Linked DNA regions of Zea mays. Each later gene encodes a partner of the first gene's protein in a complex. Links are inferred from orthologs where the notes say so. Each region holds a gene or a part of one and is shown in the gene's direction. Other genes may lie near its edges.

Region 1 (4,302 bases):
TGGTTCATTTTGATATTGCTATAACCAAATATACATTCATGTCTATCTACTGGCATAGCTTTGGATTTTAAAGTGAATTATAGCATAACACAGATCAATATACTGTTTTCTTCAAATATAGAACTGTTAATGTTCTGCTGCCACAGGCAGTGGTGGATCCAGGAATGGATCAAAGGAGGGGCTGCTAAAAGAAGGTTAGTTTTTTTAGGCTGAACTAAATGATATATCAATGTTTAATATAACAAAGTAACAAGTATAATTCAAATCTTCAAGACACATGTAGACAAAATAAGTAGGTACGAAATCTATAAATACAATACTCAATATATACCGCTCAAGATATCTCCATCAGCTTACTCATCCTCATCTCATATTTCAAACCCCACTCTATAAATAGTGCATTCTACAGTGTAAAACAATGTTTTACACGGTCATATGCACGATCTGCTGGCCATAGCCTCATGAATTACGGTTGCAACGTAAATTTATCTTTCGAGTTCTTATGCCTTAAAAACGTTTCAAAATCTTGTGCTGGCTGCAGCGTGCGCCTTGCGCTGGCCTGCACCTTGTGCTGGCTGCTGGGCGCCTACACGCTGCTAGCTGCTGCAGGTGTGTCGGCCATGCACGCTGGTCCGTGGCCGTGTCCTGCGTGGCGGCGTGGGTGCACAGTGCGCTGCCCGTCAGGCTTTGTGATGCGGCACTGGCACTACTGCAGTGTTATGGCACGGATGGGGGCCAGGCGCGCGTGTGTGCGGCACTACTGTTTGGTGCTGGTGTGCTGTGGCGACATGGCTGCGTGGACGAGATCGGGTGCGGGTGCTAGATGCCACGGTTAGATGGAAGGCTGTTACCTATTTTTGTTGGATTTTATGGACTAAAATTATGATATGATATAAGTATTATTGGACCGGGGCCGCCCCTGGCCACAAGTATGTGTAAATTGTACATTTTAATGGGCATTTACAACAGTGGCATTTTTTTATTTTAACCGCAAAATGATGCTAGAAACTTTTCCAGTGGCTGTTTGCCTTTGGGTTGAAAATCATTGGCATCTCAGCAGGTGTCTCTAAATTAATTGACTGGCTGGACAGCTGATTCATATGATATTTTGGGTTGTGATGAGTTAATATGACAGTTGGAATTTTGGGTGATATTTCATATTTTATACCTTTTTGGCTTCAATGTTTGATTTACTACCTTTCTTCCTTTTATGATTAATGAATGTACAATTGTACATGCAGAACCTTGATAGGATTAAGTGTAGGTTGTTGGAAGGAACAAATGCCCAAGATGTACGGGCACTTGTGTTGGACATGCAAGCAAGATTACTTCTGGATATGCTAGGCAAAGGAATCGAGTCTGCCCTTACAAATCCATCAACTCTGCTACCTGAGCCCTGGCAAGCTTCCAGTGATATGTTATCCAGCATCGATGCTGACAAAATGACTGTTGAGCCAGCTCTGCTTCCAAACATCCAGGTCAAGCTGTCTCCTTTATGCAAGTTGTTTCTATTTCATAGCCATGGAACTTAAATTCAGCTATCTAACATTCTTTCTTTCTTTTTACTGACTTTATTCTTTTAAGACTTGCTACTGAGCCGTTTTTTTTCATTTTATAAAGTAGTGAGCAGTATATTGGTATGCTAGATCACTTCCATGTAAACGGTACTTTAGTTATGTTGGTGAACTCATGTGCAATGTCTGTTATCCTTTGCCAAAACTGGTGTATTACAGCCTTTTAATGTTGAGTATTGTATAAATTTCAGCACAGGTTATCTGCATAGGGATTCTTTATGTTACTAGGAAATAGCTTATTTTATTTGCATTCAAATGCAGGGTTACGTTGATGCTGTTCTTGATTTAGCATCACATTTCATAACTCGCTTGCGGCGTTATGCGAGTTTCTGTCGAACTCTGGCGAGCCATGTGGGGCCATCTTCTACCACAGGCACTTCTAGAAATATGGTTACAAGTCCAACAAACAGTTCTCCTTCGCCATCAAATAATCAAGGTTAGCTATGCCTGCTAGCTTGCTAAATCTTGTGTTTTTCTCTTGTTTGTGCGCAAAAAAGTACATCCAAACCTTATGTTTTCTTCATTGCAAATTTGAGGCTTAAAGTGTTGTTTATTTAGTGCTGCTAGCATCTTGATGCTCCTTCAAATTTCAGGTAATCAAGGGGGATCAACATCTGCAACAGGGAACTCACAAATGCAGGAGTGGGTCCAAGGTGCAATTGCTAAGATTAGTAACAATTCTGATGGTGCTGCCACTGCAACACAGAATCCAATGAGCACGAGGACATCATTTATGCCCATCAGCATTAATACGGGCACTTTCCCTGGCACACCTGCTGTGAGACTTATTGGGGATTGCCATTTTCTTCATAGATTATGTCAATTACTGCTATTTTGTCTGCTTTTCCGAAGAAGGCAATCACCAAGGTTACTTGCCAGTTCGCAAAAAAATCAAGATTCTGCCATGCAGAAAATACAACACATGATGAATGCTAAGACAGAAGATAACAGTTCGACAGTAAGATCTGGTCTAGGGGCTGCCAAAGTAGAAGAAGGTCACTCTGCGCGTGGTGGACAATTTGTTCTTGGTGGTGCAAAGGGTCCTGAAGAAAATCCAATTGGCAAATCTGTTAGAATAGGTTCTGGCAACGCTGGGCAAGGTTATACTTCAGATGAGGTGATTATCAAATTCTTGACAAGATATAGTATTTTTTACAGAGTTTAATATTGAGTTATACTAAGGAAACTTTGGGAGTTAGTGCTACCAAACTGGGACTGATCGTTGGCATTTGAACTTTGGGAGTTAGTGTGAAGAAGCTGACGATGTGCCAAATGCGCTGGAAAACTGGTGACCTGAAGTCCTGAACATAGTGATTAGTTTGGAAACAACTATGTTTTGGCTCCTGCATTTCTTTGGAAATGTCTAGCTTTGGTTGCTATGGGAGAACACATGTCGATATAGCCATCATAGAGTGCAATTGCGTATGTAGGTTATTTTGGACCCTTGATTTAAGCAGTTTAAAATTTTGTCCAGCCTAGCATGAACAACAGTTTGATTGCATATGTCGTTCATGATCTCTATTGAGTGATTTATCAGATGCTTTACAGATCTGTCTTTCTATTCTTTGGAAGATTTCTTTTTGTCTAGTTTATCTAATTATCTCTGTAATTTTATTTCATTGTTGGTAGGTCAAGGTCCTTTTTCTTATACTGGTTGACCTATGTCGAAGGACATCTACCTTGCCGCATCCATTGCCTGCCTCTCAGGTTGGTTCCAGTAGCATTATCATAAGGCTGCACTACATTGACGGCAACTACACAGTGCTCCCTGAGGTAGTGGAAGCGTCTCTTGGTCCCCATATGCAGGTACTAGTCAAATTCTCATGGAAGTTTCTAATGGTCGCTTTCGTACTATTTGTGGCCATTTTGAGCTACCAACATCTATCAATTATAGGAGTAGAAGTTGATTTTCAAGTGCACGACTCAGAGATATTGCAAGTCTTCCTGTTTCGAACTGAATTCAGGACGACCACCTTTAAATGTTGATTAGGATTCTCTTAGCAGAAGTTATCTTTTTTGTATTAGCCATTTTTTATAGAAACATGCACTATTACTGCCAGGGCCTTAGACATGGCATTTTGAGTGATCCCTCGATGCCTACTTCCCCATCTATTTTCAATATTTCATTGTTTCCTATGTCTGTAACTCTGTAGAATATGCCTCGTCCACGAGGAGCTGATGCTGCTGGACTTCTACTTCGAGAATTAGAACTGCAACCTCCTGCGGAAGAATGGCATAGACGCAACATGTTTGGTGGACCCTGGTCAGAACCAGATGATTTTGGTCCATTGGACAATATGCCTCGTCTAAAAATTAGTGGTTCCATCAACTCTCATTTGTCTGACATGGAAGTGGATGCTGTCAGTTCCATTGGGATTGATCTTTGGCCAAGAAAGCGTAGGTTATCTGAAAGAGATGCTGCATTTGGTCTGAAAACATCTGTAGGTCTTGGAGGTTATCTAGGTGTCATGGGATCTCGAAGAGATGTTGTCACGGCTGTGTGGAGAACAGGTCTCGATGGTGATTGGTACAAGGTGAGTATGGTTATGGTCGCTTTACCTTTTGCTGTCAAGTCTGGGTTCATAGTTCCTTGACGAGTTCTTTATTAGAGAATCCTGGTTACTCCCCTAATATACTTCGATGCCTAAATTTGTTGTTTCTTCTTTCTAGTGCATACGTTGTTTGCGGCAAACTTGTGCATTTGCGCATCCTGGTGCCCCAAATCAGA
Region 2 (3,889 bases), on another chromosome or scaffold:
TTCTATTGAGCCATACAGGATAGAGGATGCACTAAGAGATCCGGACTGAGTGGTGGCAATGCAAGAGGACCTCAACAACTTCACAAGGAATGAGGTATGGTATTTAGTTCCATGTCCTAACCAAAAATTAGGGTGTTACAACTATTAGGGCTTGTTTGGGAGAAACAGGATTGGAGGGGATCGAGGGGTTAAAATTTCTTACTTCTCAATAAGCCCTTAAGTGATTTACTAAATTTTAGGTACCTGAATTTTAGTTTTTAGTGTGTTGTAATTTATATAGACATAATCTACATTTTTACTCTTAAGAATAAAATATCTATTGAACAAAATCATAAATTTGGTAGATTTTGATTTGTGTTGACATAAAGACCATTAACATTTTGCAATTATTTTAGTAGTTAGCTAAGGGAAAAAATATAGGTTATAACATAAAGGTAAACAATAAAATTATAGTCTTAGACCCCCTTTGGACCCTTGGAATTGAATTCTAATATAATAATTGTAATTTAGACATAAATCAATTAAACTAATATGGTTTTATAGTGAGTATATTTGTATATTAGTGTTGGCCATATTTGAGAGATATTTATATGTTACATTTCTACTATAGGAGAGTGAGTAGAAGAGTGTGTTATAAATTACAGAGTAGAAACGTAGAATTGAATACATAAAATCAATTTCCACCCCATCTTATGAATTTGAGATGAGTTTATATCTAAACTTTGGAAAGTGGTGTAATATCAAATTCAAATCAAATAACCTACTCTATTAAATACTCCCTCCAGTCTTTAAATACTTGATGTTTAAGTGATTTTCACTTTGGATGCAAATACTTGATGTTGAAGCATTTGAAGCTTATTTTGGACTAGCAAATGCTTGATGTTGAAGCATTTGAAGCTTATTTTGGACTAATATACCCTTGATATAAGTGGTTCACACATTCTTCCACATATGCTTAATTATTCTTATCGTGAAGGTTTGATCTCACGACCTAGTGTAAAATTCTTTAGGACCCAACCATCTAGGCTAACATCTTCATGTGTTTGTTGTGGAATCTAAGCGTATTTATTAGGGGTATTATGGAAAATAACAACCCTATTTAATAGCTCCTTGGTATATGAGGTCATGTCCAAAACATCAAATATTTGAAGACTGGAGGGAGTAAATTCCAATTCTTTGAAAATAAAAGGATCCAAATGGTCCTTTATTAGCAATCAGTGGTATATAAGAGTGTTGCCTAAATTTTAGGCACCAAAATATGAAGAAGTGTGCTATTATAAAAAAGAAAAAATATTTCAGAAAATTGTCAGCCTGAACAAACTATGCGCTTTCCTTCAGCCAAGGCAGCCTCAGCCCTCGAGCCTATGCCTATCCAGGCGCAGAACACGCCATTTGTAAACCAATCCTAGCCGTGCGTCTTCAATCCAACGGAAAGTTCCTCCTTGTCAATAGCAAATCGGAGGCCCAAGCGCTCCCAATCTCTCCGGGTCCTCTCTCCGCATTCTCCGTCATGGCTGAGCCGACGCCGTCGCAGTCGCCAGCGCAGACGCCGCCCCCGCCGCCGACGCAGCAGACTCCCGCGGCGGGTGGGCTCGAGGACATGCTGGCGTGTGTGGCGGCGCTGGAGGCCGCGCTGCTGCCGTGCCTCCCCGCGCGCGAGCTCCAGGCCGTCGACCGCTCCCTCCAGTCCTCCCACCAGAGTACGGCCGACCCCCATCATTTCCCCACTCTCCTCCTCTAGAGGTAGCTTCACTTTGATCCGGCACGGCTTCGACACCAGTAAAGTCTCATGGTGTTCGGTCGGTTAATGGCGCCGTCGCGCGCCACATGTTCGTTGTTTTGCCTACGGGATGGATAAAGGGATCTTGCTCTTTCTAGAGGAAGATTTTGCATCTTTCTTGTGCCCAGGAAATTGTATATCGATTGGTTTCTTAGGTCCTAGACTGAGAACTCAACTTGTATCAACTGTACCAATCAGGCAATCACATTGCAATGCTTATTAAAGAAGTAAATCACATTTTTAGATACCGACTTAATAGTGTGCAATGCTTATTAGAGAAATTTAATTGCATTTTCTCATTCGTTCCTGCCAAACAGGGTATCTAAGTGTTGTAGTCTCTACTAAATTGGGCAGTTGATGTTGAGAGGCACGCAAGGGATTTCATGGAGGCTGCCAAGAAGCTCCAGTCTTATTTCATCAGCCTGCAGCGTGAGGAACCGCCATCTGCAGAAGAGATGCTTCGAAAGGTATATTTCTACTTTATCCTCGTATAGTTAAGAGTGCGGCAAGGATAGTAGTTAAATTAAATTGGGGACTGGTTATGGAGAATGAATTAATTATAAAGTGTTTGGTTTGAGGAATGAGCTAGTCCATCGTCTTCTCACTTCTCTTTTTTTATTTGATTTGTGGAATGAAATAAGGAATGGAGTCATTCCTTATAGTTAGTTAGTACTAATATGAGAAATAAGGTCATCCCAGCAAATTTGAGGAATGGACTCATTATACACCACATCATTTTGGATTGAGTGACTCCTCAAACCAAACACTCCCTTAAAAGTTTTCATTGGTGATAGGATTGACATTTCACATGATATGATCATCCCAAGTACTGTGATCATTTGTGGTTGGCACTATACTTAGGAATAGCCAACTTTATAAATCACATAGTGCTACTTGCTACAGGCAGTTTGTTACACTCAGTATAAGCTTTATTACAAAGACTCCTATATTTCTACTCGAAGTTGAGGTGTTCATTATTGAAAGAACTGGTAGCCTGCCTGAATCGTCACTTCTACAAAGTAATGTTCCCAAGGAACACCCAATCACATTCATACACCTAACACCTTCTGTGCTCATGAATTTTTCATGCACACGTTTCTGTAAAAAAATGCCTTTGCAGTAGTTGAGAGAATCACAGGTGCATAGTTGCTGGTCTTAATTAGGAATTTGGGATACATATACCCACCCAATATTTATCATCTCGTTGGCATGTTCGGTTTTGCATTGCACAGGAGATTACGACAATGGAGGAAGAGTTGAAGAGCAAGTCTGAGCTCATTGCCAAGCACAAGAAGTTGATTGAAGGGTGGCAAAAGGAACTGAAGGAGCAGCTGAGCAAGCACATCACGGAGCTTGAAAGGGTGTGAGGAGTGCGATTCTGCGGTTTACCTTGTAGTGATCATGAACCTCTAGGTGACCAAATGTTATGTTATGCCCTATAAAACTGTGTACATGTGCTTAGAATCTGACGCCATGGTTAGCAATCGCCTTTTGTTGGTTTCTTAAGGTTGGAAGCCACGAACAAAGCCCACTTTATCTATGTTTGATTGTGTACCTTTACTTGCCCCATGGTCTCTGTTGTTGTGCAAAATGAGTCTCTGCCATCATAAAACGACATAGAATGCTAACGGCTTCCTGTCTTTATGGGTAAACTTTGGGTGAATTTATGGGTAAACTTTGGGTGAACTGTTGGAGTCAGCCTAGCGGGTTATGTGCCTACTCTGGATGGCCGCCATGTTCGCAAGTTCCTTTCTATCTTTACTCCATTTGTGCCTGGATCAGCTCGAACAGAACCTTCTCCTGACAAAAAGCCGAGCCAAGTGGCACAGTTGCTACGTTGAATACACGAGCAAGCGAAAAAAAACACTTTGTGTTTTATCTCCGTTCCTAAAGGTGCACTGCCAGGTTGTTCAGTAATCCACTACTAGTCAAAATCTTTCTCAATCCATTTCAATACACCTTAATCCATATGATTTTGCTATAAAATGAACAAGACCTAAGGACATAATCCTTGTCATCACAATTCATATGGATTGGAGATAATTGGATGAGTTTAAATTTATAGTAAGTTAAAATCTCTATTTTTTTTCAATCACATCTAATCTATGT
Region 3 (4,140 bases), on another chromosome or scaffold:
GAGTTCGAGCTTTTTTCCCAGCCCTAGCCACGGCCACGGTCCTGCCCGGTCGGCGGCGCGCGCACGTGTGGCAGTCCTTCATCCTTTTCTCAGCTTCTCAATAGATGCACCAACGGACCACCTATTTAAGTTGATTGAATTGTCCCTTAAACTTCTGGTATTATACTAAAGTACTAGTACACCGTAGCATTAAAATGGGCCTTTAGCATTGACTATTATTGAATATTAATATGGGCCAGACCCACATTAATTCAACAAATGACACTATAAGGTGACTTATGCAACACTACCTCCTTCCAAGAGCACAATAGTTGGAAGCTCTCTTCTCAAGTTACAAACAACACTTTCAAGGCTTTCTCTTTTCCATATCAAACTGTGTCATGAGCAATTATGCATTTGTAGGTATCTTGAAGTGAACTTTGTAATTCCTTAGCACCAATGTGTGGTTTCTTCACAAGGATAGGAAGAGCTTTTAAAGCTACCCAAACACTTGTTAGAGTGCTAGTCCTCCTCCGTCTATTAGATGTACAAATGTGATATCATTTAGCATAATCATCTATAAAAATAACAACAAACATCACTATAAAGGCAATAACGTAAATAGATAAATAAATGTAAAGTTTTTGATATACATAACATACAAATATAGTCGGTGAATCATACCTTTCAATTATTGCATTAATGCTCCAAAGACAGTCACCTCCTCGGCAATAACCTCTGTATTTCTTAGGGCATGTACAGTGGTGTTTAATATGGGGGCTCTTAAGGTGTTTTAGGGGGTTATTTGCAAAAAAATCTTAGAGCCGTCTCTCCGTGAAGAGACGCCTCTGGCTCGTAAACCAAGTAACAACAAACGCCTCACTTCCCACTGTACGAATTTGTCGTCTGTTCTATCGATCTGATGCTATACAAATACATTTAATTCTGTATTTATTAACCGACTACGTTTAGAGACACTCCATTGTACAATAGAGTCTCTTAGTTGTCTCCTGTGCTTAGAGAACCGTTTTGGTGTCTCTCCACTGTACATGCCCTTAGGGCATGTACAACCCAGATACGACTGCACGGTACTTCAAGTATAAGACACAGCTAAAACACAACACAATACAGTGGTCGTGTCTAAAACGTGTGTCTTACCATATTCATTGTACCAATCAGAGCATTCAATAAATTAAAGTGACCAATCAGCTAGCCTCCTGTCTCGAACATAGAGCTAAGACACTGTGTCTTCGTCAAGATACATGTCTTGAGTTTTTTTACATTCACCCCCCTAGACACACTCTAAGACACAACTTAAGATACTCATTGTACATGCCCTTAGGCTACTAGCCCAGGCCTCCGGTTCCGCGTGGGCCCGTCGACTAGGGCGCACTCGCACCCTCCGCCGGTCCTGAACTCATCGATCGCAGAAGCGAGAGAGAGAGAGAGAGGAGGCCGTACCCACGCCGCCGCTTCGCCGCCGCCGACCTCCGTCTCTCGCTTCCACCATCTCTCTCCTTTTCACCCTCTCTCGCGGCCACCCTCGGTCCCCTCCCTGAGCCTTACCCTTGACTGAGTGGTTTCCAATTTCAGTTCCACTCCCTCTTCCACCACTATTCACGGGGAGGCGCGGCGAATCCTGCGAGATTCCTCCCGGCCCACGCGTGCGCACGTTGGCGATACAGGGCTAGAGTTTCGTCTCCGGCGCTTTGCGGAGTTAATTAGGAGAAGGAACTGGAGAATGTGTAGGTGGTGGGCGCTGAAACCCTAGCTGTTCGGGACGGGCGTGCGTGCGGGGATGGCAGGGGAGCTGGGGCAGCAGACGGTGGAGCTGGGCGCGGTGGTGCGGCGTGCGGCGGAGGAGTCTTATCTCGCTCTGCGGGAGCTCGTGGAGAAGTCGCAGGCGGAGGCCGAGGGGAAGGGCATCGGCGCCGGAGCCAATGGCAGCTGGCAGCGGTCCGACACCGAGAAGAAGATTGACTTGCTCAAGTTCATCACACGCACACGCCAGCGCATGCTTCGTCTCCACGTCCTTGCCAAGTGGTGTCAGCAGGTGATGCCTAATTTCAGTCTTTGCTATTTCTCTTGCTTGTCTGTCTCCTTGTCATAATTCTGCTGAGGTATGCTAAGAATTCAATCTGACTGGTGTGAGTGCCTAATATCCTGTTTTAGTTTGGTTTAGTGGCATTGTCTCACCTATCTAGCTCGAGTGGCATGTAAAGAAGGATATTCATAGTTGTTGTCTTATTGCAGTGTAGTGGGATAGTGAAGATTGGTGATTGTTGATGAATTGTGCCAGCATTTTTGCCCCTAATTTTGTAGGGTCTGTACTCCAGTTCCTAGTAGGACACAAATGATTGTTTGGTGGACAAAATGTAATCCAGTTCAATCTTGGCATACTCATTGATTTGTTTATTTTGTTTTGGTGCAGTGGTATTATGAAAAAGCTCAATTTGTTTCGCACTAGAAACTTATATTATTTTTCTGGTGCTGTCATGGTGTGCTCTAGCATAAACGACGAGTGAAATAAGACCGTTTTACAATGTACTTGAAATAGTGCGAACTGCGAACCACCATGCACACATAGATCAGGGGAATGTAAAATCAACAAATATAATTTAATAATTAAACTATTAAACCATTGAAAATGCATTATATATCACGGGAGTCGCGAAAGGGCCTCTAGCCTAGTGGTTAAGGACTTCCGAGTAGCACCTCCAAGTCCTGGGTTCGATTTCCCCCCGGGAGCGAATTTTCAGGCTTGGTTAAAAAAATCCCCTCGCTGTGTCCCATCCGCTTTTGGGTTACGATGTCCTGTGCGCCACCCTCCGGTTGGGCCGTTGCAGAGTGGACAGTTGACGCCGGCCCGTTAGTGATTGGGGGCCAGGGTTCGGGGATTTTCTCGGCCGGGACCATTGTTTCGGTCTCTTCTTAATATAATACCGGGAGGGCGGTCTTTCCCTCCCCGGCCGAGTTTTTTTTTATCACGGGAGTCTCATTGATTTATATTGCTTCCATTTCAAATTGTAATATTTCACTATATGGTTTGAACTGTGGTAATGTGGTTGTTATGCTGTCATAAATATTTGTTTCTAGCATATATTTGGTGCAAGCTAATCCTAGTGCAATCGTGCAAGCCACTTTTGTTTTGTAACAAAATCAAGATGAAGTATTCTGATTTTTATTAGATTGCTCATTATCTGGTTCACATCCATAAAATCCTTTTCTTTTAAATTTAATTGACAACTTGACATATAATTTCTGTGCTACAAATGTAATTAAACGTAGGACAGAAAAATGAGACTGTCTAGTAAAAAATAAGTTGACAAGGACAATGAAAAGTTTAAGATTTCCTTTGTCCCAACCAAGCTTAGATATAGCACTGAACTAGTCCAAAGAGCACTTCCTCAACGGATCCAGAAGTACTGAGGTTGATTTAATGGCATTTTACATCATTCCACTGAGCCAATGGATTCCTTTAAATATGCCCCACTGTACCTTAATTTTGTTGTTATGTCAGGCTGTCAGCTGTGTACCTAGTGCTGAAAGCTGAACACAATGTGGGTTCTGGAGAAGGGGATTCTCAACAGCCTCACCCTCGCATAATTATGCAAGGAGGCTGTTTCAAACATGGTTATTAAAGCGGTAAAACGTTAAAACGTTATGAACCAACTTTTCAACGTTTAAACGTTTAAACGAACGTTGAAACGTCTTTTCAGACTTGACATAGAATTTCAAATATAGAATAAGTTCATACATAAGTTGAGTTCACAAACCAAATAGCATTAGCATAAAAAGAAACATATCAAGTTCAACAACACAAGTTCAACCACACAAGTTACAACTTTTATGCATGATTAGTAACCATCATCGAACTCATCGATATTAAGACCATGAGCATAGCGCCTTGATCGTCACCATCTTTTCCACTATTGCTTCCTTCAATTTCATCTTCCACATCAAGATCATCAAGAATATATTCCTCATCATCTTCATTTGCTAAATTAGTCTCCTCTTCCTCAAGGTCTTCATTCCTTCTCACACACCCACCACCAGCTCTCCTAGGAAAATTACGACCTCTGAGATGTGCAGATGCACCAATAGCTTCATCAACTTGGTCCCATGATAAATTGAAATCATCTCCAAAAGCATTGCTAACAT

The links. The genes of interacting proteins can lie anywhere in the genome.
Region 2: uncharacterized protein LOC100216950 (region 1) and Mediator of RNA polymerase II transcription subunit 28-like share a complex: the UniProt entries of both Arabidopsis thaliana proteins name them as parts of the mediator complex. The link is inferred for Zea mays from reciprocal best matches to the Arabidopsis thaliana genes SFR6 and AT3G52860.
Region 3: uncharacterized protein LOC100216950 (region 1) and mediator of RNA polymerase II transcription subunit 14 share a complex: the UniProt entries of both Arabidopsis thaliana proteins name them as parts of the mediator complex. The link is inferred for Zea mays from reciprocal best matches to the Arabidopsis thaliana genes SFR6 and SWP.

Annotation. Positions count from the first base shown.
Region 1 is NC_050096.1:232,623,706-232,628,007, reverse strand, and holds the start of uncharacterized protein LOC100216950, read left to right. Parts: upstream 1-1,442; coding exon 1,443-1,478; intron 1,479-1,835; coding exon 1,836-2,010; intron 2,011-2,167; coding exon 2,168-2,691; intron 2,692-3,203; coding exon 3,204-3,380; intron 3,381-3,727; coding exon 3,728-4,108; intron 4,109-4,244; coding exon 4,245-4,302. UniProt on the Arabidopsis thaliana protein: Component of the Mediator complex, a coactivator involved in the regulated transcription of nearly all RNA polymerase II-dependent genes.
Region 2 is NC_050103.1:84,916,280-84,920,168, reverse strand, and holds Mediator of RNA polymerase II transcription subunit 28-like, read left to right. Parts: upstream 1-1,364; 5' UTR 1,365-1,510; coding exon 1,511-1,700; intron 1,701-2,134; coding exon 2,135-2,247; intron 2,248-3,012; coding exon 3,013-3,147; 3' UTR 3,148-3,332; downstream 3,333-3,889. UniProt on the Arabidopsis thaliana protein: Component of the Mediator complex, a coactivator involved in the regulated transcription of nearly all RNA polymerase II-dependent genes.
Region 3 is NC_050097.1:176,303,007-176,307,146, reverse strand, and holds the start of mediator of RNA polymerase II transcription subunit 14, read left to right. Parts: upstream 1-1,283; 5' UTR 1,284-1,777; coding exon 1,778-2,032; intron 2,033-4,140. UniProt on the Arabidopsis thaliana protein: Component of the Mediator complex, a coactivator involved in the regulated transcription of nearly all RNA polymerase II-dependent genes.